4 linked regions of the Oreochromis niloticus genome follow. The protein of the gene in region 1 interacts with the protein of each later gene in a pairwise test. Links are inferred from orthologs where the notes say so. Each region holds a gene or a part of one and is shown in the gene's direction. Other genes may lie near its edges.

The links.
Region 2: the proteins of thap1 (region 1) and chlsn interact in binary tests that used the Homo sapiens proteins (3 or more experiments, as listed by UniProt). The two-hybrid records come from large-scale screens. The link is inferred for Oreochromis niloticus from reciprocal best matches to the Homo sapiens genes THAP1 and CHLSN.
Region 3: the proteins of thap1 (region 1) and akap17a interact in binary tests that used the Homo sapiens proteins (3 or more experiments, as listed by UniProt). The two-hybrid records come from large-scale screens. The link is inferred for Oreochromis niloticus from reciprocal best matches to the Homo sapiens genes THAP1 and AKAP17A.
Region 4: the proteins of thap1 (region 1) and acot7 interact in binary tests that used the Homo sapiens proteins (3 or more experiments, as listed by UniProt). The two-hybrid records come from large-scale screens. The link is inferred for Oreochromis niloticus from reciprocal best matches to the Homo sapiens genes THAP1 and ACOT7.

What each region holds. Positions count from the first base shown.
Region 1 is NC_031972.2:34,363,528-34,370,843, forward strand, and holds thap1 (THAP domain-containing protein 1), read left to right. Parts: upstream 1-4,295; 5' UTR 4,296-4,469; coding exon 4,470-4,540; intron 4,541-5,284; coding exon 5,285-5,477; coding exon of another isoform or gene 5,478-5,491; intron 5,492-5,678; coding exon 5,679-6,097; intron 6,098-6,185; coding exon 6,186-6,207; 3' UTR 6,208-7,131; downstream 7,132-7,316. UniProt on the Homo sapiens protein: DNA-binding transcription regulator that regulates endothelial cell proliferation and G1/S cell-cycle progression.
Region 2 is NC_031973.2:19,321,884-19,329,727, forward strand, and holds the start of chlsn (protein cholesin), read left to right. Parts: upstream 1-4,823; 5' UTR 4,824-4,947; intron 4,948-5,137; 5' UTR 5,138-5,151; coding exon 5,152-5,274; intron 5,275-5,354; coding exon 5,355-5,465; intron 5,466-5,472; exon of another isoform or gene 5,473-5,835; coding exon of another isoform or gene 5,836-6,969; exon of another isoform or gene 6,970-7,139; intron 7,140-7,844. Other genes in the region: lg8h8orf33 (UPF0488 protein C8orf33 homolog), read right to left, coding at 1-26; h3f3d (H3 histone, family 3D), read left to right, coding at 1,370-1,497, 1,648-1,801, 1,891-2,019; uqcc4 (ubiquinol-cytochrome c reductase complex assembly factor 4), read right to left, coding at 2,920-3,244, 4,229-4,314. UniProt on the Homo sapiens protein: Hormone secreted from the intestine in response to cholesterol, where it acts to inhibit cholesterol synthesis in the liver and VLDL secretion,leading to a reduction in circulating cholesterol levels. Acts through binding to its receptor, GPR146.
Region 3 is NC_031987.2:12,401,176-12,408,927, forward strand, and holds the start of akap17a (A-kinase anchor protein 17A), read left to right. Parts: upstream 1-4,734; 5' UTR 4,735-4,900; intron 4,901-5,665; 5' UTR 5,666-5,686; coding exon 5,687-6,013; intron 6,014-6,153; coding exon 6,154-6,192; intron 6,193-6,311; coding exon 6,312-6,530; intron 6,531-6,717; coding exon 6,718-6,930; intron 6,931-7,752. UniProt on the Homo sapiens protein: Splice factor regulating alternative splice site selection for certain mRNA precursors. Mediates regulation of pre-mRNA splicing in a PKA-dependent manner.
Region 4 is NC_031984.2:24,092,036-24,099,081, reverse strand, and holds the start of acot7 (cytosolic acyl coenzyme A thioester hydrolase), read left to right. Parts: upstream 1-4,045; 5' UTR 4,046-4,115; coding exon 4,116-4,279; intron 4,280-5,141; coding exon 5,142-5,259; intron 5,260-6,979; coding exon 6,980-7,046. UniProt on the Homo sapiens protein: Catalyzes the hydrolysis of acyl-CoAs into free fatty acids and coenzyme A (CoASH), regulating their respective intracellular levels.

The sequences.
Region 1 (7,316 bases):
TGTAACAAGCAACAAAAAGAAGAAAAGAGGAGGTGGACAGCGTCTCTGACCCCAATGTGAGGTACTTTTTTGCTTCAGATTGAAAATATAAACATTTGCTGATCTGCTGAGCGCTCAGTTTTATTTACATGCTGCAGATGTTTCAATGTTAATCCGCCAACAGCTGGAGGCTCCAAGCACTGCTGCCCTGTATGACATCACAAGCAAAACCATATAATGGTTAAGATGGATTCAACCAGGTGGCCTGCACTATCAGAGTGACTTACGATCAGAGCAACATCTTTATTATAATTTATTAGCTTTTTTTGGTTCGTTGTTGTAACACTAACAGGTTTTGTCTGGGAGTGGTAGCCACAGCCTTCCTGCAGCTGTCCATCTGAAACTCACAGCCCACCAGTGAAAGGAGCAAGTGTTGAATTGTCTGTGGAAAAGTTTATTTTGTTTGTATTCGGGCCATTGAAAGAAAAAAAATGAAAGGCCCTAGTTGTGTGATGTAAAATTCAGGAAAAAAAAGTTTTAAACTTAAAGTTGTAAATTTTGAACTTCATGAAAAAATATGACAAATTTACAATAAAAACATCATTAACACATAATACGTGTTTTTAGAAAACAGCACTTATTTTCAATCAGATAACAAATTATGAGCTTATTTTCATTAGAACGAGTCCTGCAGTAAAACACAGGCCACTACATGCAGCTGGCTGTGAGGTGTGTGCAACGCGTGATTTAAAAAAAACAACAAAAAAAACAACGTACATATTCAATATTAACTTTGCTCGCATGAAATTAGCTTTCTTATAAGATGTGATTTTTTTTTTTTTTTTTTTTTTTTCTCTCTTAACTAAAAAAAAATCAGCTTTTTTCTGGCCCACGTTTGGCCCTCTGGTTGCTCAGTTCTGGCATTTGGCAATCACCACATATGGCCCAGAGGTCATCAACACAGCTGGCAGCTGGCACATGTATGGTGGACCTGGGCAGCCACTGAGTCACAGGCAGATGTGGGCCACACATCTGGGTTATATTTTGCATATTTGAACCGGCAGATGTTTTGCTACTTTAGCCTTAAAAAATACAAAAATGTGCTCATTTCCTGTTGTTTTAGTCACAGCTCTGCCTGCAAGTCCAACAAAAAGCCAGTAAGCAGTTCTTGAGTTCAGCTTGATGAAATTTGTGGCAGCAGATCAGCTGGTGAAGCTAAAACCAGAGCGAAAGCTTTCCTGGATGTGGAGCACAGAAGCTGCTTTCCTTCCTGCAAAAGGGAAGAGCCGCTTAGTGGGCGGGGCTTCCACATCACATCACTGAGTGTAATCGTTGCATTCTGACTGCGTGTGATCTTTCAGAAGCCGACTGCATCTCCCAGAAGACACTGCTGTGAGTCTTTAGTGAATTCTTGATGGCAGTGTTGTGAATATGCTAAAAACTCTGATTTCACGACCCCGGAGGATTCTGGGTATTGGAGTATTTAGAGACATTCAGTAACCGACAGCACTCTGACTTTCTGTTGCACTTTCCTTCTTTTTCTTTCACTCTTTTTTGCTGAGGTTGAGTTTCATTGTTTGACGATCTTTTCTAAGTGTGAAGGCCTCGCAGACCGATTGATTTTTTTTTTCTTGTACAGCAGCTTTTTAATCTGTTGCTTTATTTTTGAAAAAATATTTACATATTTTGATAGTTTTGTCCGTCTGTTCTCTCCAGCCGTCTCTATGTTTCTGTTATTACACCGTCAGCTAAATACCTTTGAATGTTGAATGACACAAGATTTTCGAAAGATTTTCCTGCAAGTTCACTTTGCTGACATAATAATACGTTGTTGCTATCCTTATACTTACTTCCTGGTACACTTGCAGTATAGTGGTTGTCCATAATAAATCACAGAGAAAACCAAATTATTTGTCAGTAACTGCATTAAAAATGCCTGTATCAGTTGTGCAGGTCATGGTAGTCTTGAGTGCTTAAAAATAAAGTAGTTGACAGTACTTGTCTTAGACAGGTGCCACCTTTTGGCCTCAGTGACGGTAATGACACACGCCATTTCTCATAATTTGAACTGGAAAAGCCTCCTGGATGAAAAATGAAAAGTCTAAAGAAACCTAAAGAAGTCCCCGTTGCCCTTTTTTTAACCACTCAAGTCTGCATTAAAAAAGCTCCAATTAGCCAAGGTGATGGTTGCGCAGTTGTTATGAAGGTTGAAAAAACTTGACAGAGTGAAACGGTTTTCTTGTATCAGGCTGCAAAACATGTTTATTTCTGCTGTAAAATTGGACATTTAACATGAGAGTCTGGGGGAGACTGACTTGCTTTTGGATCCTCAAGTGGACATTAGAGGAACTGCAGTTTTGGTATTTAAGCACTGGCTTCCTGGAGTTACCAGGGGTCATCACTTGGTGTGTCATCATGAATGTTTAAGTTGGCACTCTGTTTTTGTTAGATTACCAGTGTTTAAAAGGCCCAAATATATGAGCTCATTGTGGTTTAAGAAGTCAATGAGGTTGTTCTTATGCTACTTTCTGGTACATCTGGAATTCTTTGATAAATCTCACATACATCCTCTGATGCAGAAATCAATTGGGCTTATCATCATGTTTGTGTGCAAAACTGCCAATTATCAGTTTGGCAGAACTTACTGCATTTAAATCAGAAGTATTATGCGATATTCAGTGGCAGCTGTTTAAAACCAAACAAATGACCAAGACTGGTTGTGATGACATGTTGCCCGTACCTCGCGGTGGTCACTTGTTGGTGTTTATTTACTATTTTAAGACTGCTACACTCAACTTTATGGTAGCTTTTTGCCATACAATTCAACACTAAGTAATTAGTAAAATGTGCTTAGTCATAGTCATCAAACAGGCTTTTGGCGTCACCTTATGATGGTAGGGGTGCATTAAAAAAGTTGTGTAAAATACTTTTTTCCCCTTTCTTTTCTTACAATTTCTCTTAGAGCTGACAGTTGAAAAGTCGTGACCTTTAATTTTTAGTTTCCTTGTTTAAAGAAGGCTTGTTTGGGCTTTTTGACAGATAGCACATGGTCCTTGTCCAGGATTTTAACCCGTCATCCAACAGCTACTGGATCACTCCGGTGACCTGTTGATATGATTGTGCATTGTTTAAAGAAACGTGATGACTGTGGCAGTGAATTTCATACAACTGACAGGAAGTATGGACAGAACTATCAAAATAAGAGTCTAACTGTGTAAAATAAAGTAAAATTTGTGTGATTTTTGCCCATGTTTGATCTGAGATTGTGGACATTTCTCCATCAGTAAATTTTGTTTGCAAAAATCAAATGATCCCACCTGGTTCCTTTTTTTTGGTGGGGGTTTCCTGTACATAGAAATGTGGGTGAATTATCCCAAAACTATTTTGTATTTTTCTATTTATTTCTTCCTTTGTAAAGTCTTCTAATAGGCCACAGGCATGTGCTAAAACAAAAATGGACAAATGATGAGAAATTTCTCTTTCCATCCTTCTTCTTAAATCCTCGCTTCTCCTGTTTGTAAAGGTGCATTCACGTGCAGTCGTAATAATAGGAAAAAACACATCATGTTTCTGAACCTCAGCAGCCTCTGTCAAAGTTGGTGAGAAACTCTGAATGTTTTTAAGTTGAGTTTCCAGCTGCTAAAGTTGAACCCACAGACTGTTTGAGAGCCTTGTGACTCTTTTTTTCTTTCAAGATAAGGACACAGTATGATATACAGTGTAGTGATAATACACACACATTATAGGTACTTATCAGTGCTGTGTATTTACCTGTTTTCTGTGTATTCCTGGTCTTTTGTTGCTGTATAAAGCTCTTTAGACCAACCCACGGTGTTGAAAACACCTGTTTTAATAATAAAGTTTCTTCTTTTTTGACTAAGAGATTATGTGTTGAAAGTCTTTATTTATCTAACACATTATGCATGAATCTACAGGGCTGAGCTATGAAATAAAACATTACGTCTTATGGTAATTTCTGGAATAATAAATGAAAGAGGACAAATGCATTATCCTGTATTTGTGAAATTCTTTTGTTACAGCAGTTAAAATAATAATGAAAAATTATAATACAAAATTGATATTTAATTTGGTAAAATGTATTTAAATTGTGCTTTTCTAATGTTTTATAGTCCTTCACATTTACTCTATACTCAACAGAAAATAATTGAGATTAGCACTTTGTGTCAGCTTTTATTTCAAAATGTGTTAGTTAAATAAAATAGACTTGATTTGATTGAAATTTTACATTTGGTATTTAAATTAAGGCTCGTAAAAAAAAAAATAACAGACTGGACTTCCTGAGATATTACAAGAAAGTAACGACAGAAAGCTCCACCAATTAGAGGCGGGGATGCCGGTCAGGTGACTAATTCTTCGCCGCCATCATTGTTAGTGGCAGTGAAGCTTGTGTGGAGGGTGACAAGAAGCACAAGCGGAGCTTCGTGGAGTTCTGGTCCGGCTGTGAGTGAGTGTTGTCCGGATATTCAGCCATGGTTCAGACGTGCTCAGCGTACGGCTGTAAGAACCGCTACCACAAAGACAAAGACATTTCATTCCACAAGTAAGTTAAGTGCCAGTGTGTCTGTGTGTGTGTCAGCGAGCTGGGTAGCATTAGCAGTCCTGACATGGTGGTTGAGCAACGTCCACCAGCCTGCGTTCACTAATCTGCCTCATTAAAGATTAACTGCTCTTCCTCAACAGTACGAAACATGTGGAGTAGGACACGGGACATTTTACGTGTTTCCAGGTTTCACTGCTAAAATCCGGCTACATAAAAGTAAACAGATGCTATTTTTATTTGATTAAATCAAATGTTTTGATCAAGTCTAAAGTCACAAGTTTCTCTATAGTGGCTATACCGAGGCACACAAATTTAGATATTACTAAAACTTTACAGCTGTTTCGCTTTTTAACAAGCCGAATCTATCAGCACGGAACACATTTACTTATAAAGTCTTGGAGTTACATTCTTAAATATGTTTGCCTTTCCGTAAATAAGGGGACAGTAAATTCCTCCAAATTTAACTGGAGTTTGGATTAATGTGTTTATGCTTACTGGCGGGAGTTGATGCGCATTTCTTTAGTCCCCAACTTTAGTCTCAAAACAAGTAACACAAAGGGTTAACGCTCCAGGTTTTTTTGTTTTGTTTGTTTTAGTTTTATTTTTTACCAAAGACATAAAGTTTACTTCATAAGCAACTTAAACTAATTAATTACATTAAAACTGATAACAGAAAATAATTCCCAAATCATACAGAACCGTTATGACATTTACTTCTGTGTATTATTATCACTTGTTTACCAGGTTTCCTCTGGCGCGTCCAGATATCTGCTGTAAATGGGTGGCTGCGATGAGGAGAAACAACTTCAAGCCAACAAAGTACAGCAACATCTGCTCCCAGCACTTCACCGAAGACTCCTTCAAGAGGGAGTGCAACAACCGTGTGCTGAAGGAGAGCGCTGTGCCGTCGCTGTTCACCTTCAACCTCAGCATCAAGGTGACCTGACTAAGGCAGGGCTTTTTTTTTCCAGGAGTCTCCCAAGAGTTTCCAGTCACGTTTTCTTTATTTCAAAATAAGAGCACAGATCTGAGAGACAGCTCAAATTAAGCAGATAGGTTAACTAAGCTAGATAAGTAGATCAGGTTAACTTCAGCTTCAGTCAGTTAGCGACTAGTTAACTCGTGTTTTTCTCTCTAGCAGTCAGAGTCCCTGGAGGATCCCTTCCCCTCTGAGAACCTCTTCCCGCTTTCTCTGCCTCTGACCTCTGAACCAGCGGAGGAGGAGGAGCCTGAGAGTAACCCGCTCGACACCTGCAGCGACACGATGACAACGACCACAACGACGACGGCGGTCTCCTGCGACCACAACTACACGGTAGAGGACTCTGCGCAGCAGAAGAGGCGCATTGAGCTGCTGGAGGAGCAGGTGGAACATCTGAGGAAGAAGCTGAAGACGACGCAGCAGAAGTGTCGGCGGCAGGAGAGGCAGCTCAAGAGGCTGAAGGCCGCCCGGGAGGCATCACCCAGGATGCCCCGTCAGTCGGCGCCGGAGCCGGGCTTCAGTGAGGGATACGTGATTTTGCCGAAACACATCTACCACAGTTTGAAAGGCATCGAGTGAGGCGGAGTGGAGAAGTTTCATCTGCTGCTGAGCTGAAGGACGCAAATATTCACATATCTTTCTATTTTTCGTTTTGTTTTCTAGAGCTCGGGCTGCACTTAAATGACTTCTTAAAGCTTTCGGTTTGGTTTCAAGAGCCAACAGCTCTTCATACTTGACGCACACAGACTGATGGTTCTTGTCACTGTGAGGAAAACAAAGCACAGTTATGCCCCCTCTCCCAAAAAAATAAAAAAAGAAAACTGTTGAACTATTCCTTTAAAGAGAACTGTTCTTCCTGCTTTTTATGTTCTGTCACATATACGAGGTGTTACCACATAAGCTGAGGTGTGATCGTCATCTCTGGATTTTCTTGACTGATTTCGTTGTGCCCTGCCGGAGCAAACAACAGCTTCTGTTTTACACTGAGCTGAATTTCTCTAGGAGGATCATCCCAGTGAGGAGAGCTGGGTCTGCAGCCACAACTGAGCAGTTTTCATCTGAAGAGCCCACGGTGTCGAAGCTCAAAGGTGAGAGCCGAGGCCGTTATGAACCATGATGTTCGGAGGCATCTGAGGTAGATCGTTAGAAGAATCGATCTGAGCCTTTAGGCTTTGAGTTTTGCAAATTAAAGAGAAAAAAAGCTGGTAAACCTGAGAAGAAATAACAAATTTATAAGAGTAAGAAATGGTAAATTTATGAGAAAAAATTGACAAATTCATCAGGAAAATAAACACTTTTTTTCTACTCTTTGATTTGTATGGTGTCATAGATGATATCCTGCTATGGTCATGTTGGGCACAGAAGCCAATACCCAGCTAATCAGAAAGAAAGACTGCTCAAACTCAGAGAGGCTAAAACGCCTCGTTTCAGACAGGATGAACTGAAAACCCGGTATCAAAAAAAGAGAGATTATTTTGAACTGTGACTCATGCAAAGCTGCTCTGAGAGTTTATGAATTAAAAACACGATGCTGGAAATGTGCAGGATAGATCCCCATTAAACAGTCTGCTGTTTAATATGGAAATAAAATTTGACAGTATGAAATGAACTCACTTAAGCTTCTCTGTTTTGTTTTCAGAGTTTTGTTTTTTACTTAAAGGCTGATTAAAGTACATTTGCTGCAAAAGCTTTACATTTTTCAGTGTTTTCTTGAGATGCAAAAACACTGCTTGTTACTGTTGATTTGCAATAAACTGAAGCCATACGAGCAGCTTCTTTGGCTCTTTGTGCTTC
Region 2 (7,844 bases), on another chromosome or scaffold:
CCTAGGTCTGTTGGACAATGCTTCATCCATCGAGTTTCTGTCAGCTCCAGAATTATGTATCACACTAAAGCTTCCCATTTATATATGAAGAGGTTTATGTATGGAGCGTGTATGTCGATTTGTGAGGTGCACATATGCTTTTTCAGAATGTCTTCTGTGTACTTCATTTGCCTTTTCACATAGTACAGGCTACAGCATAAGTATGGCAGCATTGTTCCCGCTTGTCTTAATTAGTTAAAAGAGGGGGGCGGTCAGTGACCACCATGTTTTCAGAAAGGAATTCCCAGGTTCTAAGATTACACAGACAAAATTATATGTATAACTGTGTGGAATAAGAGAGAAAAGCTGCGGGTGAATAATTAAAATCAAAATAACGACATGCTTCTTTTTAAAATAAGGTACATCTGACGATCCGCTCTAACTTCACACGCAGAGGCAGAGAGCCTCCTTTTTCCTGAACTAATCATATTCCGTTAGGGATTTCAGTTTGGACCAATTGGATACGTTCAGGGGCGGGCTTCGAGCGCTGCTCCGCTTAATCTATAAATACCACCTCCTCAGCCCTCAGGGCAACATAGCGAAGTGACTAACAAGGAGGAGTCATTGAATTTCCCCGAACAACGAAAGTGATCCAAGGTATGGCTGTTATGTTTGTTTATGGGTTTTATTTAAAATCGTCAGTATGTGAATTGGATATATTATCTTTTTGAGTTTTGGTGTTAATGAGAAGCTTTGAAAAACTGACAACAAAACGGCGCGCTCTGTAGCTAAGAGCTAGCTGATGGCTTAAATTGAGCCGATTTGACTGCTCTTAGGGTATGACTACATAATTATAAACTAATGTTAATGTTCACTTATACGACTGAGTGCCGTGTTGTTTTTGGTGATATTAATTGGTTAATTTTAGTGTAAATCTTCGCGGTAACTAGCTGGCGCCATTTTGCAACCGTCCATGCTAGCTTTAAAAATGCTCGACAGACAAGCAAAGAAACGTGTGTGTCTCCTGTAGCTTAATGGTGGCGGTGCTTAGAGGTTTGTGTATGATATTTGAATAAAACCATAAAAGTGGTAACTGTTGTAACTTGTCGTCCTTGATAATGGTATCACCGATGAATGAGGGGTTGGCGCCCTTTATGGTAGTGTTTTCTTTTTACTGTAAACAGAAGTAAAAGGTAGGACGGTTGTTTCGCCACCTATTTTTTTTTAAAACGACGTGAGTCATGTGTCATAGGTAGAGCCGCATAAAGGGAATAGGCTCTCGTTCAGTGGGTGGTTAACGTAAATTACGAGTTTTTGTGAAGTTTTTTTTTTAAAATTCAGTTTGTTTTAACGTCCACTTTTATTTATTTTTCAGACTTATAAGTGAGAAATGGCTCGTACAAAGCAGACCGCTCGTAAATCCACAGGAGGAAAGGCGCCTAGGAAGCAGCTGGCCACCAAAGCAGCCAGGAAAAGCGCGCCCTCTACTGGTGGAGTGAAGAAACCCCACAGATACAGGTACAACAATCATGCCCCTGTATTGTTTGTATAGGCATAACTGGTTACACTGGCTGTGGAAACTAACTTTACTCTTGTTTTCTGAAACTGTGTAGTTGTTACAGTGTTTTTGTTTCTGGGCACTAATTCAGAATATGGCTTGCTTCATAGGCCCGGTACTGTTGCTCTGCGTGAGATCCGTCGGTACCAGAAGTCCACTGAGCTGCTCATCAGGAAGCTGCCTTTCCAGCGTCTGGTCAGGGAAATCGCTCAAGACTTCAAGACGGATCTGCGTTTCCAGAGCGCAGCCATTGGTGCTCTCCAGGTCAGAAAATGCATCTGTTTTAAAATATGAATAACATGTTCTTGTTAATTTGTTCTAGTATGTAATGTTTTCTTTTCTCTTCCCTATAGGAAGCCAGCGAGGCCTACTTGGTCGGCCTGTTTGAGGACACCAACCTGTGCGCCATTCACGCAAAGAGGGTCACCATCATGCCCAAGGACATTCAGCTGGCCAGGCGAATTAGAGGAGAGCGAGCATAAATGCTTCTGGATTTTTATCTTTTTATTGGGTTGGGGGTGGGTGGGGGACTGACTGGGGTTTGTTTTGTAAATCTTGAACTATTTACCAGCATGTGTGCCACCTTATGTCATTTGTAGTTTCAGGCATGATTTTGTACTTCATTTCACACACTCTTCCTTCAGCTGTCCTGTTCACTGTAGAGTAGTGCTTCATATCTGTAAATTCTAAAGCAGAATATCTCACTTCCTTCCTCAGGTCTGCAAATGTATTTTAGGGTCTGTATCTTTTTAATCCTGTGTGTGCATGTCATAGGATTTCTCATTGTGCTGTAAATAAACTTTCCGCTACCTCACCCTGACTTGAGTTTGCTGCAGACAACCTTGGGTACAAATACAAAGTCGGGAGACCCATTGGATCAATGCAAGGGCTTCTTTGCACTATAACTTTGTTCTAACAAGTTGGATGTTCATCAAGTGATCATGTGCACTTTGAAACAGTGATTCAGAACAGACTGGCAGATGCTTGTTGGTCAAGTTTATTGACATTGTAATCCATTACTGCCAAAAACTGCTTAAAAAAAAGGAGCATGTCCCAATTAACGTTAGCTCTTAAACTCATGATGTACAGCATGATGTAATAACCTACATCAAGCATCACAAGTAAAACCCCAAAGTGAACAGTATTTTGAAACTGGATACAGTCTGCAGAGAAATGTGAAATAGAAAAGCCTGCAACAGCTGTAGAGTAGACCAGACCAGGTTTGAACTAACCTGTAGTTATTGGAATATTTGTGACATTCATGTATCAATGGACGGCCTTATTTCCACACAGAGCATTAACTTTGTGTTCCAGGTCAACACAGTACAATTCACAATAAATACAACCTGATACGACATGTCCACATATTCCGATAAGCACCTTTATTTTTTAGCTGTATCCTCTTCATTTGAAAGCACGCTGGGTACATGCTCGTACAGCTGCTTCTCCAGAGCTGCATCAATGTCTGTCTCATCCCTGAAAGCGCACCACAACAGGAAGGCGGTGGCAAGCAGGCTGATGGGCACAACTTTCCACAGAGGACGCTCGTACTGGCTCCCCATCGAGCGGTCAACTCTCCAGGTCCTGTGGCTGGCTTTGCTGGTTGAGAACTTAATGGGCTCGCTCTTCACCTCCTCATCATCAGCAGATTGTTTGGACTTGCCCGACAGCTGAGAGCTCAGCGCTAGAGACCGCACACTGTGGAGTCTTCCAGCACGAAAAACAGGAGAAGATAAATTAGTTTAGGCTGAAAGACTTAGTGGTTTGAAAGTACACTTAGTGCACTTAAATGCTACTTCATCTTAGATAGTATACTACAATATTTACTTGGATATTAATACTTGTGGACTTTCGCTTAAGAGTAGAAGTGAAATATATTTATGAAACATTTATGAAACTTTTTTAAAACTGTTGTTTTGTTTTTAAGAAGCATCCACAGCTGGAGATTATAGTCCTTAATGGCCACTAAAAACATTAATGCAATCATCATTTTCACTTATACACTGGATTTATGATCCATTTCCAGTGGTCAAAAAACCATAGACGCACATAATATGCAATAGATGTTTTATAGAAACTGATGTTCAAGATCAACCATACAGATGATCATAAGTTCCAGTGGTAGATAGCTCCTTACATAAAAAAATAAAGCACTAGAAAATAAAATTTCTGAATTATTCCAAAGCAAAAAATGAGTTTATGTATAAAACACTTTACCTTTGAATTAGCCTTTAAATAACTGTGTGTCCATCTGTAAATTGTTGCTCAAAACACAGTGATGATGCCACCTAGAGACAATTCCTGAAGCTGCTCTATTGAAAATGATAAATCTAACCTCTGACACAACGGCAACACACGGACGGTGACTGTACTTTACTCACTGTCATACGTCCTCATAAAAAGAAAACTCCTGATATCCATCCAAAGCCTAGTAACTAGATTAAAGTCAAAGGACCAAGGTGTGTCTTCTAGGAAAAAATAAGAAAAGAAAAAAACCCTGTAATGTTTCATTTTCTATAACTGTAAATGTGGTAACATCTAACCAACGCCGCTGGGTCAGCTTTCTTTTTTTTCTTAATAAACCACTTAAGAATCTGACCAACAATTAAAGATACTACACTGTCATTGAACAACCCTTACACATTGAATACATGCTTTCCATGAGCCGGGGACACACATACACACACTCACCTCACGGTAGCTGCACCGCTATGAATAAATGTTCCTCGACTCAAAGCCACTCGTGTCAGACGGGCAAAGACTGCTGCTGTAGACATGATGGACAACCGGTCATCTTACTCAACACTACGAAACTGAAGCTTTGCCGAGCAAAACCTTTTCAGTCAGGTCATGTAACACACCATTGTGCAACCCTTAATTCTCTCCGGCCAGAACCAGCGAGAGACGCTGGTTATGACCGGCTGTCTCTAACCCACAGAATAATTTATTATTCTGTTATTATTATTAGTAGTAGTATGACTATACCTAAAGATAATGGCATATTTACGCTTGAAAGTAAAAGTACTTTGATTTTACACCGTACCACCAGTCTGCATTTTATTTTTATTTTTTTTAAGTATTTTTGAGGTACAGCGTATTGCCTTATTTATAATATTTTTTTTCCTTTTTTATTGGTTAATTAATTTGTTTGTTTTATTATGGCTTTTGTTTATGTATTTATTTATAATTTATTAATTTTAAATAGTCTTCGGGTTCCCACTTCATTTAATATTTTGAGTTTTCTTTCAGTAGTTTGTTCTTCGAGTTTTTAAAAGTGTTACACCCACCGACCAATCACAAAACACGGGTAGCTAATCGTCCAATCAGGCTTCACTTGAGCGGCACCGCTTCCTGGTTGACTTTCCACGCGCATGTGTGCTTTCCAGAGTCTGGCACGCAACGCAACTCAGGTTGGTTTAAGGTTTTTTGTAAAAACAACGTGGTCAAAGTAGTGTTTAACCCTTAATACTGCTGCTTGTTGTTATGTCATAAAATTGATAATTTGTTTCTTTTGACCTTAAGCCTTGTCTGTCCGTGTACTTCATTCAGTAAACGTGTGTGCTGGTCTTCAGTTATATACATGCTCGTGTTGGTTTGCAGGAGTAATTTATCTCATGGCTAAGGACAAATCGTTGAAATCAAAACCTTATAAGAGGAAGAATCTGGGTCCATCAGATGACAGTACAGAAATAATGGACACTGAAGTAAATACGAAGAGGAAAAAGATGGATGCAGATGTGAGTAGCACAGAAAATGGTATTTTACAGCACTACCTGAAATCAGTCACAGTATCATTAACACTTTGCCTTTAAACCAGGAGGCTCCTGCTCAGATGTCTCAGTTAACAAACACAACAGATGATAAAAAACGGAAAAAGAACAAGAAGAGTAAAAAGGAACAAGTGAACCAAGCCGCAGAGCAAGCAGAGGTGAGAATGTTCACTGCCGAAAATGTGACTTAAAGATTTTATTTGGCTCTTTGTAGGTAGTCAGCTAGTTTACAGTGTTTTACTGTGAAAAAAATCTTTTTTTGTGACATAATCATGGTAAAGCATAGAGCAGCGTGGCAAACATGTAATAACACAGCTAATGAATTGACAGTTAATAAATTAAAATTTTTTGGCACAGTGACATGCTGTCATTCAGTCCAGAGAGACTTTTATGCTAGCATCATTCATTTAAATAACACTGATGTGTCTCAATTTTACATAAAAAACAGTCAGATCTGTACAGAAGTTAGGATCCTTGCTTTGATATTTAGCACTGAATAGCGCCTTTACCCCACAGCATGTGTGTTTTTCATGTGTGATTGGTGAGAACATGTATATACAGTTTATTCAAGGTGGGTGCATCAGTTGGCAAGGGGATGTCACAGTTTGAATGTGATGAGTTGCTCGTACTGTCATCCTTTGCTGCTGGTTCGTTTATGGGCTTTCTCGAGGGGGTCCTGTTCAGCTTGGACCATCGGCTTTTATCCTGGAGAAAAAGCCTCAGCTTTTTCCTAAAGGCCTCCCCGAGAAAGCCGTAGATGAGAGGATTCAGGCAGCTGTTGGAGAAAGCCGCCAGCCTGACGGCGTGGCCCGTCAAGGGGTAATCCTGCCACAGCGTGCCCCCGTTCGTGTCGCCCCTCACGAGGTGCACACTTGTAAACATGTTCTCTGGCAACCAGCAGAGGAAGAAGACGACCACAGCAGCTGAGATGAGTCGCAGGGCTTTCTGCCTGCGAGGCCTCTGCAGGGGGCTGTTTAGCTCCCAGTGGCTGCACTTGAGCACCCGTGCTATCCTCCAGTAGCACACACCCAGGATGCAGAAGGGCAGCAAGAATCCCAGCATCACCTCCAGCCACTGAATCTGAGTCACGTTGGCGAAGCAGAAATGGAGCTCTCCGGCGTGTTGCACTTGAGCTACAGCGAAAGGCAGCAAGGTGAGCAGGGACGAAGACGTCCAGATGAGGCAGCAGCTGAGGCGTGCGCGTGGTATGCTGCGACCGATGGAGTTGGTCAGTGCGACGAAGCGGTCGAGGCTCATCCAGGTCAGAAAGAAGACGCTGCTGTACATGTTGGCCTGTTGGAAGAGGTTCATGAAAGTACAGAGGCCAGCCTTGTCGTAGTAGCCCTTCTTAAGATTGAACACTTCAATCAGAGAGTCAGCTACCAGAAAGAGGTCGGCCATGGCCAAATTCACAAAGTAGCGATCTGGAGGTGTCATGCGGCCCCTATGGTTAAGGTTGACCACTATAATAAGGATATTCCCAACGAGACCGACAGGAAACAGGAATATGGTGTAGAGGCTGGAGAGGATGAGGCTGATAAAATAATAATTATCTGAAGCTGCCTCCAGACAATCTGAGACGACTGCCTGTGTGTCATTTGGATGTGCACTGAAGTTATTGTCAGCAGTGACTTTGTAGTCCACATGCATGGTCATGTTCATGTTCCCCTTTTGTCTTTAGCTGTTGTTAGCAGTATCCAAACACTAGGTTGCCATAGTTCCTAGATTTTTGAAGACTAAGTAGTTGCTGAGGAGCCTGCGGTACCATCAGTTCCCTGTTTGTGTGAGCGGTAGCTTTTGGATAGAGCGAGGTGCTGATGCCACTGTTTCCCCTAGACAGAAAGAAGAAGTGAAATGAAGTCTGTTTTCACTTTCTTAAAACATCAATTAATTTCAATTCACATCTATACAGTTGCATTTATATAGCACAAAATCAAAGAACAGTCAGCTCAAGGGGCTTTAGATTGTAAGGTAAAGACTCTACAATATTAGAGAGCAAACCCCAACAATCAGACGACCTGTGTGAGCAAGCACTTGGCAACAGGGAGAAGGAAAAACTTCCTTTTAACAGGAAGAAGCCTCATGACTAAAGGAGGGGCAGCCATCTGCCACAACCGGTTGGGGACTGGGTGCCAAAAAGTAGACATCCAGGAGGTAATAATTCTGTACACAACATCAATAAATATTGATGTTGTGTACAGTTGTTGTGTATTGCTCGCTGTGGCGGGCAGGTCGTGCTGTCTAGCTGGCAGCCTTCTTTAGCAGCTGCCTGAATCATCATTATAATATGACAAATTACAAAACAATGTTATAGTTCACGGTGTTTTACTTCAGCTCTAGTTATTGCGCAAAAGTTGGGAGCTTCACAGAATTTTCTTGCCTTTGACAAATGACAAAGAATGATTAATTAAGCCGTTAATCACTGATTAGTTTTTACTGGAAACAGAAGCAGAGGCAGAGGTACTGCAGTGACACATTACGTTGCCTCATGTAGGATGAACAAAGCTAACTTGTCATGTTAGCAGAGCTGAAACTAG
Region 3 (7,752 bases), on another chromosome or scaffold:
TTCTACTGCCGATAACGTACCTCAAATTTTCTGAAGCTAATTCACTTGTTTCTACATTGCTTTGTGTGTGGCGTGTATGCAAATGTTCAGACACTGATATTTAGATATTGCTCTCTGAATGTCAGTTGCGGAGTTTTACTGTGTTATCTGACATTTCATTTCTATATTTACTCTAAAAATGTGACACAGGATTCATTGGTTCATAAGGGTAAAGGTTCAGGCAACCACAGTCACAGATATCCGCCGGAAACAACTACATCATATGAAACTGAGACAAAGTCAATATTGTTCCCATATATTAGTCTGACCTTGCATGCACGCTGTCATCTATTCATCAAGCTCTGTTTTCTCTAAGGACTCTGGCCAGAATGTGCCGTAGGTTTAGCAGTGATTTCTCAAGTGGTTTCCCAAATATGTGAACCTTTCTTCCTCCCGAATTTCATGAATGTTCTGTTACTAATTTGTAGCATTTGTACTTTTATCACGGGGATTCGTGTCATTGTATGTCTTGACACTTTTGATGTAGAATTTTATGTCATTTTCTCAGCGGCATGAGTAGAGGAAATGGAAATGCAGCACACTGTTGATTCTTATGTCTGTATAAAGAAAATCTGTTTTCATTGTAAAATGCTGTGAAGTGATTGTGTGGTGTGAAATCACTGTTAACGAGCCACTTTTGTTTTTGGATTAATGTCTTTATCCATAAATGTGAAATAAAGAAGTTTTGTTTTTATTTACATAAACTAAAGTTTTTAAGTCTGTCGACTACACTGTATTGTCCCATTGATGCAAGAGAAAGATTGTATAAAGAAACGGCCTTGGTAATAATGAGAAGGTTTAAAATGTAAAGAGCAGCTGTGAATACTCATGTTAATGTCACCAGAATAGATTAAAAATACAATTGAAGCGAGTCGCTTCATCCGCTGTTCCTGCTGACACCAGCTGATTGTCCTTGCCTGTTGATGCTGAATAATTGATGATCTGACGACCCCAGCTTTGCTCTGGCATTTACAGTATATCCACAACTTCCTGCCCACATAGCCCACCAGACAGATTAACATCCAGTTCTTATTTTGCACCTCTTGTTATACAGACTGACCAAAAGTCAACATTGCTGCTGTTGGGATATAAACTCTATTTAATCCATTTTTGCAAATACTTTAAAATCAGATTTTATGTTGTTTATCTTAATATACTTAAAAGAACCTAAGAGGACAAGCAGTTTTGTGTTTCCCTGTTATGTTATTTTTGCCATTGGTTAGAGAAAGTAAACAGAGTATAGGGTACAGAGAAATTTAATGCCCACAAGCTTTCATATGTGTGTGGGGGTTACGATACATTTCTCAGTGCCTGAGCCTGAACAGATTACTACAGATCTGGCAATCCTCTTGTTGCTCTGATGTCCTTCTGGCACCCTGTCTGTTCTCTGCTTCGTGTTTCCCAGATCAAACCAACCATATAAAAGCTGGATTACATGTAAACAGTCACAATGTATCACACAATATGCTTCTTATATAAAACTGAATGCTGTCAAGTCAGCTCCTTTGATGATTCTGTAATCTCTGGGGTTTCCCTGATCTAGAAGTCAAATAAGGATTTATAGTGGTCAGAAGTGATGTGCTTTTTTTTTGGCTATGTAGAATCCAGATTTGCCTTAGGCAGGCTGTCTATTAAATAACTGCTGATCGGGACAGGATAGAGAGCCTTTTTGACTGCAGTAACTGACCTACATGCACAGTGAAGGGAGTAATGCCTATTATGCAAATTCCTCTGCCATCCTTTCAGGGAAACTGTGCCAACTTTTTAGCCTGGGGCCTCCACTGTTGGACCAATCCAAGTCCGGTCCATTTTTATCTCACACAGTTACCACAGTGATGATGGCTTTCAGACAAACCCTAATGAGTCACAAACAGTGCCAAATAGACATCAAGTGAGTAACAAATTTGTACTGTCATCAGAGTGTTGTTTGTCTTGTGGCAGATATAAAAAAGTACAGTGAATCCAGCCTGAACCCTTTTTTGATACTGATCAACATTTTTTTGCATAAACTATATCAGTGATTTACTAATAAATAATGAAATTGAGGGCGATTACAATTATTGCCAAAGTTTCTATCATGTATTAATTATGTGTGTTCTGAAATATATAGCAGGGTGTGTGTTCTTTCTCTTTTTAAATACTGCTAATATATATGTATCTATAAAACTTGGTTATTTACACCAAAAGTCTTAAGTAATTTGTAAGCCCGGTAAAAACCATAAGTGAAGACCTCACAGATGCATCTGACCCGTCTACTGTTCCCTGAAGCCTCATCAGAAAAGGTCTCAGTGGAAGGAAGCTGAGTACTCAAAGAGAAACCATGCATACTCTGTGAGAACTGCAAACTCCACACAGAAAGGCTCCAGACTGGATTCAAACCCTTCTTGCTGTGAGCCGACAGTGCTAATCATCAGACCGCCATGCACCCCATGAACATATAAGGAGGAGAGGTACTGATGGTAGATAAGTTTAAATACCTGGTGTCAGCCATCTAAAGCAACAGACAGTTCTGGGTATCTGTTGTGGGTGGTGTGACTATCAGGGGGATTTGTAATAAAAGGATCGAAGCAAGAATGAAAGGCAAGATTTAACAAGATGGCACTGAGACCTGTTATGATGCATAGTTTGGAGATGGTGACAAAAAGATAGGAGGCCAAGGCGAAAGTGCCAGAGCTGAAGAAGTTAAGATTTTTGTTGAGAAGATGGAGAGGATTAGAAATGAGCATGTCAGAGGGAGCGCTCAGGTTGAGCACAAAGTTAGAGAGGCAAGGCTGACTTAGACATGTGCAGAGGAGGGAGAGTGGACATATTGGACAAAAGATGTTGAACATGGAGCTCCCAGGCAGGAGGGCCTCATTAAGAAAAAAATATTGCTGATCATTTTGAGAATAAAGTCAAAAATTTTATTTTGAGAAAAAAGTTGAAATACTAGTTTGAGACAAAAGCCAAAGGGTGGAGATTATGGTTGCTGTTTGAAGACAAACTCCCAGGTTTGCTATACCTTCTACGAAAAGCCTTGAGTAGAAGTACCAATTCACTAACTCAGGGGGTGTAGGAACTATAGCTGTTTGTCTTGAAATTGTAATCTCCACATTTTGATTTTTTTCTCAAAATTCTATTTTACTTTGATCTCGAAATTTTGACTTTATTCTCAAAATGACCGACACCATATTTTTTTCTTAACATGGCCCTAATACTCCTTCATACAGGAAGAGAAGAGGAAGACCAGACAGAAGATTCTTGGATGTAATTAAAGGGTTGTTGTAGCAGAAGAACATGCTAGGCCAATTGACTTTGATATAATGAATGGTGTTTTGAAATTAAATAATCCTCACTCCGCTTGGTTTCTTATACCAAGTAAGGTCTTTAACAAACTGGGGTATCGATTTTCTCCTAAAATGTGACTTTGAAATTACTAAGCTACCTGTTAAACTCTCTGAATTCCATAAACAGCTCCTTCTTTATTGGAAAATTATATTTAAACATAATTTCACTCTACATAACTGCCAAATTTGGAACAATAGATATATACTGATGAATAGAAAATCTATTTTTATTCAAGATTGGTTATCGAAAGGTGTTTGGGCAATTGCTCATTTTGTAGATGAGGAAGGACAGGACATCACGATTTTGGCCAAAAATTTAATATCCAGTGTTCTAAAAGTAATTTTAATCGGGTTATAAAATCCATTCCATTGTCACTTAAAAACATAGTCGTAAGTGATATAATATATTCTGACATCTCCCTCAAGTTAAGGCAATTATATATAGATGGTATTCAGTTTTGTAATGTTAAATACAATAATAAGTTCCTGAGATCTTCATTAAAGAGTCTTTATTCTCCAAATTTACTTAGACGTAATTACATATTAAAAGATTTCCAAGAGGAAGAAATTGAAAGAATAAGAACTAATTATATCACCTTCCCTATCCCTCCTAAAGGGAAAGAAGTCCAATTCAAAATTTTAAATAAAATGTACCCAACAAATAGGTTCCTTGGTGATAGTTTTAAGATAGAAACTGTTAATTGTGTATTTTGTGAAACAGAAGAGTAGGATTTGGACCATCTATTTTTTTTTGTGCAGTTTTATACAAATCTTTTGGTTGGATTTTCATGCCTGGCTTCAATCGAGTGGGATTCAAATTACCCCATTTACCTTAAATGTGATATTGTTTGGAGTGTTTCTGAAGGAAAGTCAGTTATGGTGTTAATGTTTTATTAATCTTGTGCAAGCAATATATACATAAATGTCGACCAAACCAACCCTACTTCACTGGAAAAACGATCTAAACCTGTTGGTTAAATCTTTGACTTTAGTTAAAAAGAAAAAGGCTGCATCTTTTGGTTCCCTTTTGGAAGATTTTGATTTAGTGAGTTAATACTCTGTTAACTTTTATGACCCCGTCTTTATATCTTCTTTTTCTTTGTACAAAGGTTGAAATTTGTATTTTCTGATTGTATAATATATGGTGCATTTTGTTGTATGTTGATTTTGCTAATTAAAAAAAAAAGAAAAAAAAAGAACATGCTAGGAAATGTGTGCAATGGCGACAAATGATCCGCTGTCCCGGCGACCAGGCAGCCCAAGAAGAAAATTGCTATGAATATTGATATTAAACTGAATTCAACTTAAGAGATCTTTTTCCATTTTTCTCACCGCCATATTCATCCATGTGGTGTCGCTGTGGGCGCTGGTATAGGTTTCTTTAGAAGGTCGGAGTTCATTGCGTGCGGAAGTAGCATGTAGTTGGATTCTCGATTTTCTGTATGCCTCTCAAGTGTATGGCTCACCTTAAATTACAACAGTGTGTTTGTTGTGTTTTGCATTTTCGGTTTTTACGGGGGGGCTAAGTGATTTTGGTAGGTTGTGGCTAGTCTGTTATCTTCTGTGCTAGCTGACGTTAGCATGTTGTTGTCTAAAGCGGTGACGTTTTAGGACCCAACTCGTAAAAACCGTAACGTTAACAAATAATCAGTAAACAAATAATAATACGCAGTTTGCAGTTTAATAGCGTTAAATTAATCACGTTAACCAGATCGCTGTTTACTCAATTTCATAGCTTTCTAGCCTGTCGTCCTTCGGGATGAAGCGAAGACTTTAGCGTTAGCTTTCAGCTAATGTTACATTGAGTTTGCTAACGTTTGTGTAACCAGTGAACACCGTTCCCCAGAAATATGTAGCGTAGTCCTGACACCGTTCATTATTATTCCTACAAACTGTTGTCGTTGTGTCACCCTATATGCTCTCTGTTAACTGAACGTTAATGCACAGGAGCTGGTTAGCTGGGTAGCAGTATGAAGTTGTGATGGCGCAAGGGGCTTTATGCTTTAACATGGCATTTGTTGTGTAATTTTCGAGGACTTGTCACACTACTGTATAACAAGCCAAATGCGAAGGCTAATTATAATGGGTTTTATAATGTTGAGAATGGTTTTTAATCGTTTGGCATGAGGCCTGTGTTTGAGCCGATGTTTGCTGCAGTTTGATTATTGGTTTTGGAGGACTACTCGTAGCACATGCGCAGTTTAGTTTATTACTTTGAGTTTGCTCCTTATTCATGTTTTATCTGTGTTTTAAGAGAGTTTAATAACTACTAAATCTTTATTTTCTTCCCCCTGCTGCAGCTTCGGTGTCTCTCTGCAGCAATGACCACCATTGTACATGATACCACAGAGGCAGTGTGCCTCTCTGCTGAGTACAACCTGTACCTGAAGCCTATTGCCAAAATGACCATCAGCGTGGCTTTGCCCCAGCTCAAGCTGCCAGGCAAAAGCATCTCCAACTGGGAGGTAATGGAGCGGGTGAAGGCCATGGTGGCCCCGGAGCAGTTTTCAGTCTTGCGAATCTCCAAGAGCACAATGGATTTCATCCGCTTTGAAGGTGAAGTGGAAAACAAGACTGTAGTCAAGAGCCTGCTAAGTCGTTTGGATGGGAAGAGCATCAAACTCAGTGGCTTTACTGATGTACTGAAGGTAAGGGTGAACAAATTTAGAGCATTGCAGTACTTATAATTAGTAATTGCATGGTTATTGGAGTCACTGGAGTTTGTTGTTGCTACTTAAATGTACTTAAACTGTTTGTAACTCTTTGTCAATACATTGTAATTTGGCAGTTCAAAGAAATTACCTTGAAAATAAACAACTATCCAAAGGCAAGGCAGCTAGTTCTAAGTATTATATTATTATCTACCAAAGATTGATTACAGGTTGAATTAAATTGCACTAATAAACCGACAGCAGAGTATATTTATTTCACCCTCTCATCCTTTAGGTTCGTGCAGTAGAAAATAAAGTGGACTTCCCGACACGTCACGACTGGGATTCTTTTTTCCGTGATGCCAAGGACATGAATGAGACACTACCAGGTGAGAGGCCTGACACCATCCACCTAGAAGGGCTTCCTTGCCGCTGGTTCAGTCAGAAGGACAGCCAGTACCCAGATCGGCCCTCAGAAGAAGTCCTCATTGCAGTTTTCCAGACATTCGGCAAGGTGATTCACATTCATGTTTCTGTGTAGCTAAAAGGAAATTAAGCTTTTAATATTCACATTTTTAGTTCACAATTTAAAAAAAAAAAAAAAATAGACATAAGCAGTGCCTAACTAAACAAGAAACTAATAAATGTCGATATAAAAAGTTAAAACATTAGTATTTTTTTGTTTTTGTTTTTTTTTTAAGGTACGAAATGTTGACATTCCCATGCTGGACCCATATAGGGAGGAAATGATGGGCAAGAACTTCAGCACATTCAGCTTTGGGGGCCATCTGAACTTTGAAGGGTATGTCCAGTATCAGGAATACTGTGGCTTCACAAAAGCCATGGACACTCTGCGCAGCATGAAGCTGATGCTGAAAGGAGATGATGGAAAAGCCGTGGCTTGCAACATCAAGGTACTGCAGACTACAGTAGTGTCAAGCCTCTGCCTACACATATTAAAGCTGATTTTATTTTCTACCTCTTAATTGATTGACCAATCATTCCAGGACTTTTTTTTAATCCATCAACTAAAAATGTTGTTTTCTTAATTATGTTCAGTCACTGCTGGGAGAGAAATTTCTTCGTACAAACTTTAAATGCCAGGGTTTTGAGAAAAATGGAGTTTAACTCATTATTAAGGTGTTCTAATGCAGTGCCCTTTCAAATATGGTTGTATTAAGCAGGACAAGTATAGAGAACCATGCAGCCTTGAGAGGTTTGTTTGATAAACATGCTGATAAATTAATGATTCTATGCAATATAAACAACCTCCTTTTCCCATCAGGCTACCAGTGAGTGTAGCTTTTTTTTTCTTCTTAAGTGAAAATATTAAATGCACTGTGACAATAGCTTAAAACTTGTAGAGCAGAAAAGATGTTGTATTTGTAGCTGTGTCACTGGAATATTTGTCCATTATTCATTTATTTAAAATCTGTGTTGACACAGTAATCTGCCATGGATGTAATATTTTTAGTTTTCAAATGAAGAGCTGGAAGGACTATTCCTGACTAAGCATGGTTATAAAATGTTGTAATCATAGTAAACCACTCTGAAATGTGTGAAGCACTCGAATAAGCCCTTAAACTCACCAACGGGTTTATCAGTCTGGTATTCTTGGATTATATTTTGTTTTGCTTTATCCACTATCCCCCCCAAAGTTGGTCTAAATTACTGAATTAATAAAAATTTACATACTTTTGTTTTGGGTTTTTTTGTGTGTATAAATTTACCAGAAC
Region 4 (7,046 bases), on another chromosome or scaffold:
AGTGTGGTCTCTGCTGCCCTCCTCTGGCTGATTATAGGTATTGAAATAGCTGAGGTTTCTGTTTCTCAAACATGCCTTTCTCATTTACCTATTTAGGAAGCTATGGAATGCAAAGGATCTTCTCTAGCTCATTATATCGATAATATAATAGTTTATTATTTTAGGGCAATTTGAAAGAACAGATTTTGCAAAACATTTAGCAGGTAATTTCTATGAGCTCTGCACATTTCCTCTCATCGAGCCATTTCGCAAAGACACTGTGACCACAGCAGCCGGCGGACGCCGGGAGAGTGATTTCCCTTCACATCACACACGAATCTCACTGCAACACGAGACCGACAGCCTCCGAGAGCTCATCAGCATCAGAACCATGTCGGCACCGCAGACGGGCGAGGCAGCATCCCCACTTCAGATATGCAGGTAGGACGTTTAATAAGACACATTTACACGAGTGCTACCTTCACACACATGCTAATAACGTGCTGCTGGTCGCCAAATGACGAGAACAACGCGGCTACCGGCGTAGTTGCGTGAGAGCTGCTGACAGGACGATAACCCAGATAATCTGCTTCTGCTTCTTTTTATATTTTTGCGCAGACGCCATCGCCCGAGTTCAGCCGCTGGTTCAAGATGTTTGTCGTGTGCTGTTGTATAAAACACGAGACGCCGTTTTTTTCAGGATGTTTAGTGTGCGAGCTTCGTCAGAGGTGCGGACCATCTCTGCCGCGTTTCGCAAGTGATGACCTCAGCGCGGTTAGCTCCGTCAGGACAGGCGAAACACGGCCAAGGACGAAGGCCACTACAGTCGGAACCATTTAACCCAAACTCCAAGAAAAGAAAATACTTTATCGCGTGAAAGTTTATCGCGTGACTCAATTTGTCTGGACATTAGTTTAATCAGTCCGCACTTTGCCCCTTTATTTATTTCCTCAGATGATGAACAGATGTAGAGCCCAGAAAGCAAACAGCCATCTGTGATAATAAGGGCACGACTGCGAGCTATTAAAATACCTTTCAACGGCGCGTAATTTTCCAGAGAATATGTGGTAGTACTTGCGCTCGCCCGTAGATGGAGCCAAACTTCTCTTGCACACCCCTGTTCTGTTAGAAATATATGCCTACATTTAAAGAAAAGAAAAAAAAGGAAAATAAAACATTCTCTCAAGTAAAAACAGAAGAACAGACGACAAAAACACCAATAACGCACAATCAAAAAAAGATTTAAATTATTCTAAAACAGCAACATATTATACTTATATAAGTCACTATGACAATTATAGGGCCATGTTCATTTTTCTTTTTACGTTTATCTAAGTTTTATAATCTCTTTTCTCATTTTTCACTGCTCAGTGTTCAGTTTCTGAGAAGTTTACCAAGGTCTTCGGAAGAGTCCCGGAAGCCAGCCAGTATTAGTAATAGTGAGTCATAACTTCAAAAGTTTCTGTAAACATTGGGTCTGATCCACCCCCCCCCCCGTGGAGGATATCAAGTATTTCTGGCTTTGCATGAGTGATGTGTTGAAACCTTTAGGTGACTGAAACGTGACTGGCCATGTAGGAGTAAGTTTCCACTTACTGGGATGTTGCAGTAAGAAGCTAGTAGTTCTATTGGATATGAACTTCTTTTCTGTAAACATAAAAAATGTAATGTTTACAGTGATAATAATACAGTGATCATCAAAGATTATGGGAATATCTTTAATGATCACAGAAAACAAAGGCGGCAGTCACAGGTTGGGCCAGTGAACATATTTATTTAAGCTTATGCTATAAACTCACACTATCTACTTCAATTATGCTACCACAAGCCCAAAACAGATTTAGCCTTGCTAAACTAACATGAAAACCATGCAATTTCTAAAAGCAAAGAGCAAAGAAAAGAATCCCACCAACCACAGGTCGTCACAGACTGACTGGATGATTCACTGTATAAAAGGTGCACTCACTTATCGAATACATCATCTTCATCATGCTTCAGTGCACCAGCTTCTAGATAAATCACATAATTCAGTATGAGTGCATATTTTCAACATATAAGTGCTGAAAGTGTTTCAGTCCTTTACAAAAGCACAAAAACAAACTATTCAATCACCAGAACGTCACCTTTTGGGCCGTGTGTGTGGAAAAGTCACTGAGAGCCCAGCTTAAACCCAAAATCCTCGTGGTATACTCATTCTGCTCTCTTCTCTCCTTCCTCTTGTTGCTGCACTGGCAAACACCTCTATGTGCTCAAAAACAAATTCTTACAGAGTTGATGTCAACAGGTTCGTGAACATTGTGCACAAATGACAGGGAGCAAGGCCAGGAAGTGCAAGTTTATTATGTGAACGTCCCAGCATGGCCCTCTGCCATAAAAGCTTTTCAGAAAAGGTGCCTATTTTAATCAATGGAGTGTAAAATGACTGAATAAATATTTCCAGAGCTAAAGTTCAATTCATAAGGAAAATGTGTACTGCATAAAATTTTTTTAATAACATGTCCACTTTGCCACTTTACCACAACACTATGACTGTAAACACCCAGTATAGTCCAGAGGACGGCTCTTTTTGTTAGTCATTTAGGTTCCTGAGGAGTTACCCTGACTGATCCATTGGATATTCTGTCTTTGCACAATGATCTTTACCGTCATTGAACAGTTAAAAGTGGGTGTGTGTGCATTTACAGGAAGTTAGTCATCTTGTTCTTCTTTAAGTCAGCTTTACTGACTTTTTATCAAAGATGCGCTCCTTGTGATTTCTTCGCTGCAATAAGAAGCTAAACAGGATCCATCCAAGCGCCCTCATGATTAGTTTTAGAGTGCATTTGGAAGCAATATGCTCTTTATATTGTTGACTTGCATTTGGCCGCATATCCAATATGTTTTGACTATTGGTCTGTTTTCATTTTGGCACTATTAAGAACTTCACATTGCTTTTCTGCAAAACACTAGGAAGGTATATTTTTTCCAACTGTTTGCTCAGAGTTTAGCTTGTTCCTCTCTAGAAGCTTCTTACAGCAGCTTTGTGAAAAGCTAAAAAATATAAACAATTTATTTTGGGACTACGGAATAGGAGAACACCGAGTGGTAAGACAACATCCTTTGACAATATGGCCCTTACTGTTTATACATACAGCGATATGTATGTGTGGATGGAGGTGTGAGTGTGTTTGGCAAATGCCTGTCTTACGTGGTAATGTAAGTATGCTTGCAGTTAAACACTTGGATGCAAAATCACTTTCACACATGTGCTGTGATCTTGTTCTGTGGACGGCTGGGAGAGAAATGACACTGAGACTCCAGTTTGTGAAGCTAATTCGGCATTTCAGCTATCATTGTTCTCGATGCAGGTAAAATGAAATAAATAAATAAGAGTTTGTTTCAACAGGCAGAAGATTTTGTCTTAGGCACCCATTAACAGCAATATTTTGCATTTTCATTTAGTTGTCATCTATATATTGTTTGTATGGTTAGTCCAGTGGTGCTGCTTCTAACCAGAAACAACGTCAGTTTTAATGTTTACTCACCTGTGTATATAATCTGTGTATTATAGATATGTTGGTTGATTTACATGAGTAAACAAGTGATTAATCAACTACATCCTGATTTGGAGGTGCGTAAGTGTGATTTGAAAGGTTCGTGGACTCGCCTTTCTTTATTTTACTTTTTTAAGCCTGCTATTCTGTTGAACATATTAAACTGTATTAGTTGGTACTGGGGTGGTTGTAATCTTGGCCAGGTATCTTCAGTTTGTTTCCTAAATTTCTAAATTTAGTCTTTACTATAGAAAAGTGGAGAAACATTCTCATGAATTAAGCATCTGAGACAAGTTTCATCCATCTGGTGCTTCACATGTGTCTCAGGACATCTTGGCAGATTTGTCACTGTCAAACTCTGTCAGCTGCATGACTCAAACCTCAGTGTGATGATGACATATTTTATTAGATAACTCCTGTCTGTCTTTGTATCAACTGCTGAGATCCAGTTTGACCAGTTAATGTGGTGTGAGCGGTAATACTCCATGACATCACTCAGACCATCAACGTCAGATCTCAAAATCTCCAAAGCTGGGATCTTAGAGCTCATACACAGGGGAAGTAGGTGAGAGAGGAAGACTGAGAGCCAGACCGTGTTTAGCGATGGATTGCTCTAGGGCTCAGCAGAGTCAGGCTTCAGATGAAGTCGATAAGACGACTGCAGTGGTGGAGAAACAGCAACATAGTCAAAGTAAGCAAGTAAGCAAAGATGTCAGGGAGGGTGAGAAGACTGGAGCTTGGAAGTGTCCCAAAAATCAGCTTAGCAGGTACTTGGTTGCTTATGCGTACACACACACACACACACACACACACACACACACACAAACACACAGTCTGTTTCAGTCATTTTGTATTGGTTCTTAGTCATTTCCTACATATGGTGAGGAGTTTTGTGAAATCTAGTAAATAGAAAACTGAGAATTTTTGAGTTTTATGGGAAGTTATTATCTCGCTTTTTGTTCTACACACACACACACACACACACACACACACACACACACACACACACACACACAAAATCAAACCCTTAACCATGTGTGTCACAGAATTAGTCAGTGCAGTGGTGCACTGCATTATTGTGGTTTGACATTTGTACATTTTGGATTAACAGTGCGTAAAGTGATTACACCAGGTATAACTGGTACGACTCGTTTATCCGTACACTGAAGAAGTGGAGCCACGTCATGCACTGTCAGCGATAATGATACTGTCTTGAAGTAGTGATGCAGTGTGGAGACATGGAGAGCTGCATTATCAGCTTGTTATGTGCAAACATGCAGCACATGAGTGACTTTCTGGCATTTAAAAAAAAAGTTTCTCATTTTTGTCTTTGCGTTTTTTTGGACAAAGTTTCAGAAAACTAGTGGTTAATAGGTACTTAACCTTAAGGTGACTTAAACTGAAAAACAAGAAGGAAAACATACTGTGTGGACTGCTTGATAACACTATTCAGGAAGCTTATAATACAGTTGGTGGTATGTAATAAAAAGATAATGACACATTTGAATGTGTCATCAGACCTACAGTCATGGGTCATATAAAGAGCCTTGAGGCGCCTGTTGTTGGGATTGGGCGCTGTGTAAATACAATTGAATTGAATCATAGTAATGCATTCATTTATTATTGCAGGATTATGCGACCAGATGATGCCAACATTGTGGGCAACGTCCACGGTGGCAACATCCTCAGGATGATAGAGGAAGCTGGATGCATTGTCAGCACGCGGCACTGCAACACACAGAACGGGGTAAGAGACAACAGCCACTGTCATTCTGGACTGTGTTATTGTACTGTTGGATAACTGAACTCAAGGAAGTTCTCAATAAGTTCCGCTAATGTTCATTTTTAGTGGCAGAGAGGTGTCAATATATAATATACATTACTTTTTTTTTTTTTTTTTTTTTTTTTTTTTATAATTTTTTATTTTTCAATAGACATTTAGAAACAGACCTTCATAACATATACATCACATGGGGATACTTCTTGCATCTGTTGTCTGCCCTTATTGCCGAAATAATATTTTAGTTCATATCCTGTTTATAAGAAGAAAAAAGAAAAAGAAAAAAAAACAAAACAAGCAAACAAACAAACAAACAAAAAAAAAACTTACAACCATAACAATAATTGAAAGAAACAGACAGAGAAAAAAAAATAAAAAATAAAAAAAAAAAAAGAAGAGGAAAAAAAATAAAAATAAATATGTACTGATAGGGAGTGATCTTACTCTTACATACTCTCATACTTCATAACTACTGGTTTGTGAAAGTAAAATCTGGCCTATGAGGCGTGACATATTTGACCCATTTTTCCCAATATAATGTAAATTTATCCAATTTATGATTAACAAAAGCTGTTATCTTTTCCATTTTATAAATGTCCATTGTGATGTCCATCCATAGATTTATAGTTGGGCTCTCCGATGATAGCCATTTTCTGGTAATACCCTTTTTACAGGCCACCAGCAAAATATTTACTAAATGTTTATCGCTTTTCGGCCATTCCTGAGGTACGTGTCCAAAAAACATAGTCTTACTCTCAAGGGGTATTTCACATTGGAAAATGTACTGTAGAGCGTTGTGTATTTCTCTCCAATAGTCCCTCAGAACAGAGCAATCCCAAAATAATATACATTACTGCAGTACTGTTTCTTTTTTAGCACCTGAATTAAGAGACTAAAATATGTTGTGAATAACAATGTTGAAATTTTCTGTACTATAAGTGTAAATTGACAGAAACTAATGCAAGAAACTAAGAAATGATAACCATTACTTTTAGAACTCAAGTTTTAAAATGTGAAAAAATGTGAAAAAGTCATTAAAAACACAATAAAGAAAATAAAAAAATGTCAAAAGGGAGTTATTTCTGTCTAACTTGCAGTTATACCAGCATTAAAAACATATTCATTCATCAAATTAGTGAAGTTTCCATCCATCCATCCATCCATCCATCCATTTATTTTCTTTATTTTCTTCCACTTATTCATTGTGCTGGGGTAGGACATAGCCTGCCATTCACGGGGCTGACATAAAGAGACAGACAACCATTCACATTCACACCTAAAACCAGTTTAAAATCTCTAATTAATCTAAACCCTGTGCATGTCTTTCTGGGAGGAAGCCAGAGCACCCAGAGTGAATCCATGCAGACACTGGGGAGAACACACAATCCCAGCCTGGATTTGAATCTAGGACCTTCTTGCTGCAAGGCAACAGTGCCTCACAGACAGTGACATCTGTAGTTGTACACATCATTAACCTCATTTGGACTATACAACCGTGCTCAGTGGTATTATTTTTATCTCTCAGTGTACAGTCATGTAACTGGGGGAATCAACTCAGCGACTCAGGATTTAAAACCAGAATTTCCCTCTGATCTTCCAGCAGAGCAATTTCCAGATTCCTGCCATTGCAGTCAAATGTTGTGATTTTGTGTGTATACGTTTTGAGTCTGCTGTTTGTCTTGTATAGGACCGCTGCTTGGCAGCTCTGGTTCGGGTGGAGAAGACAGAGTTCCTGTCCCCCGTGTTCATTGGCG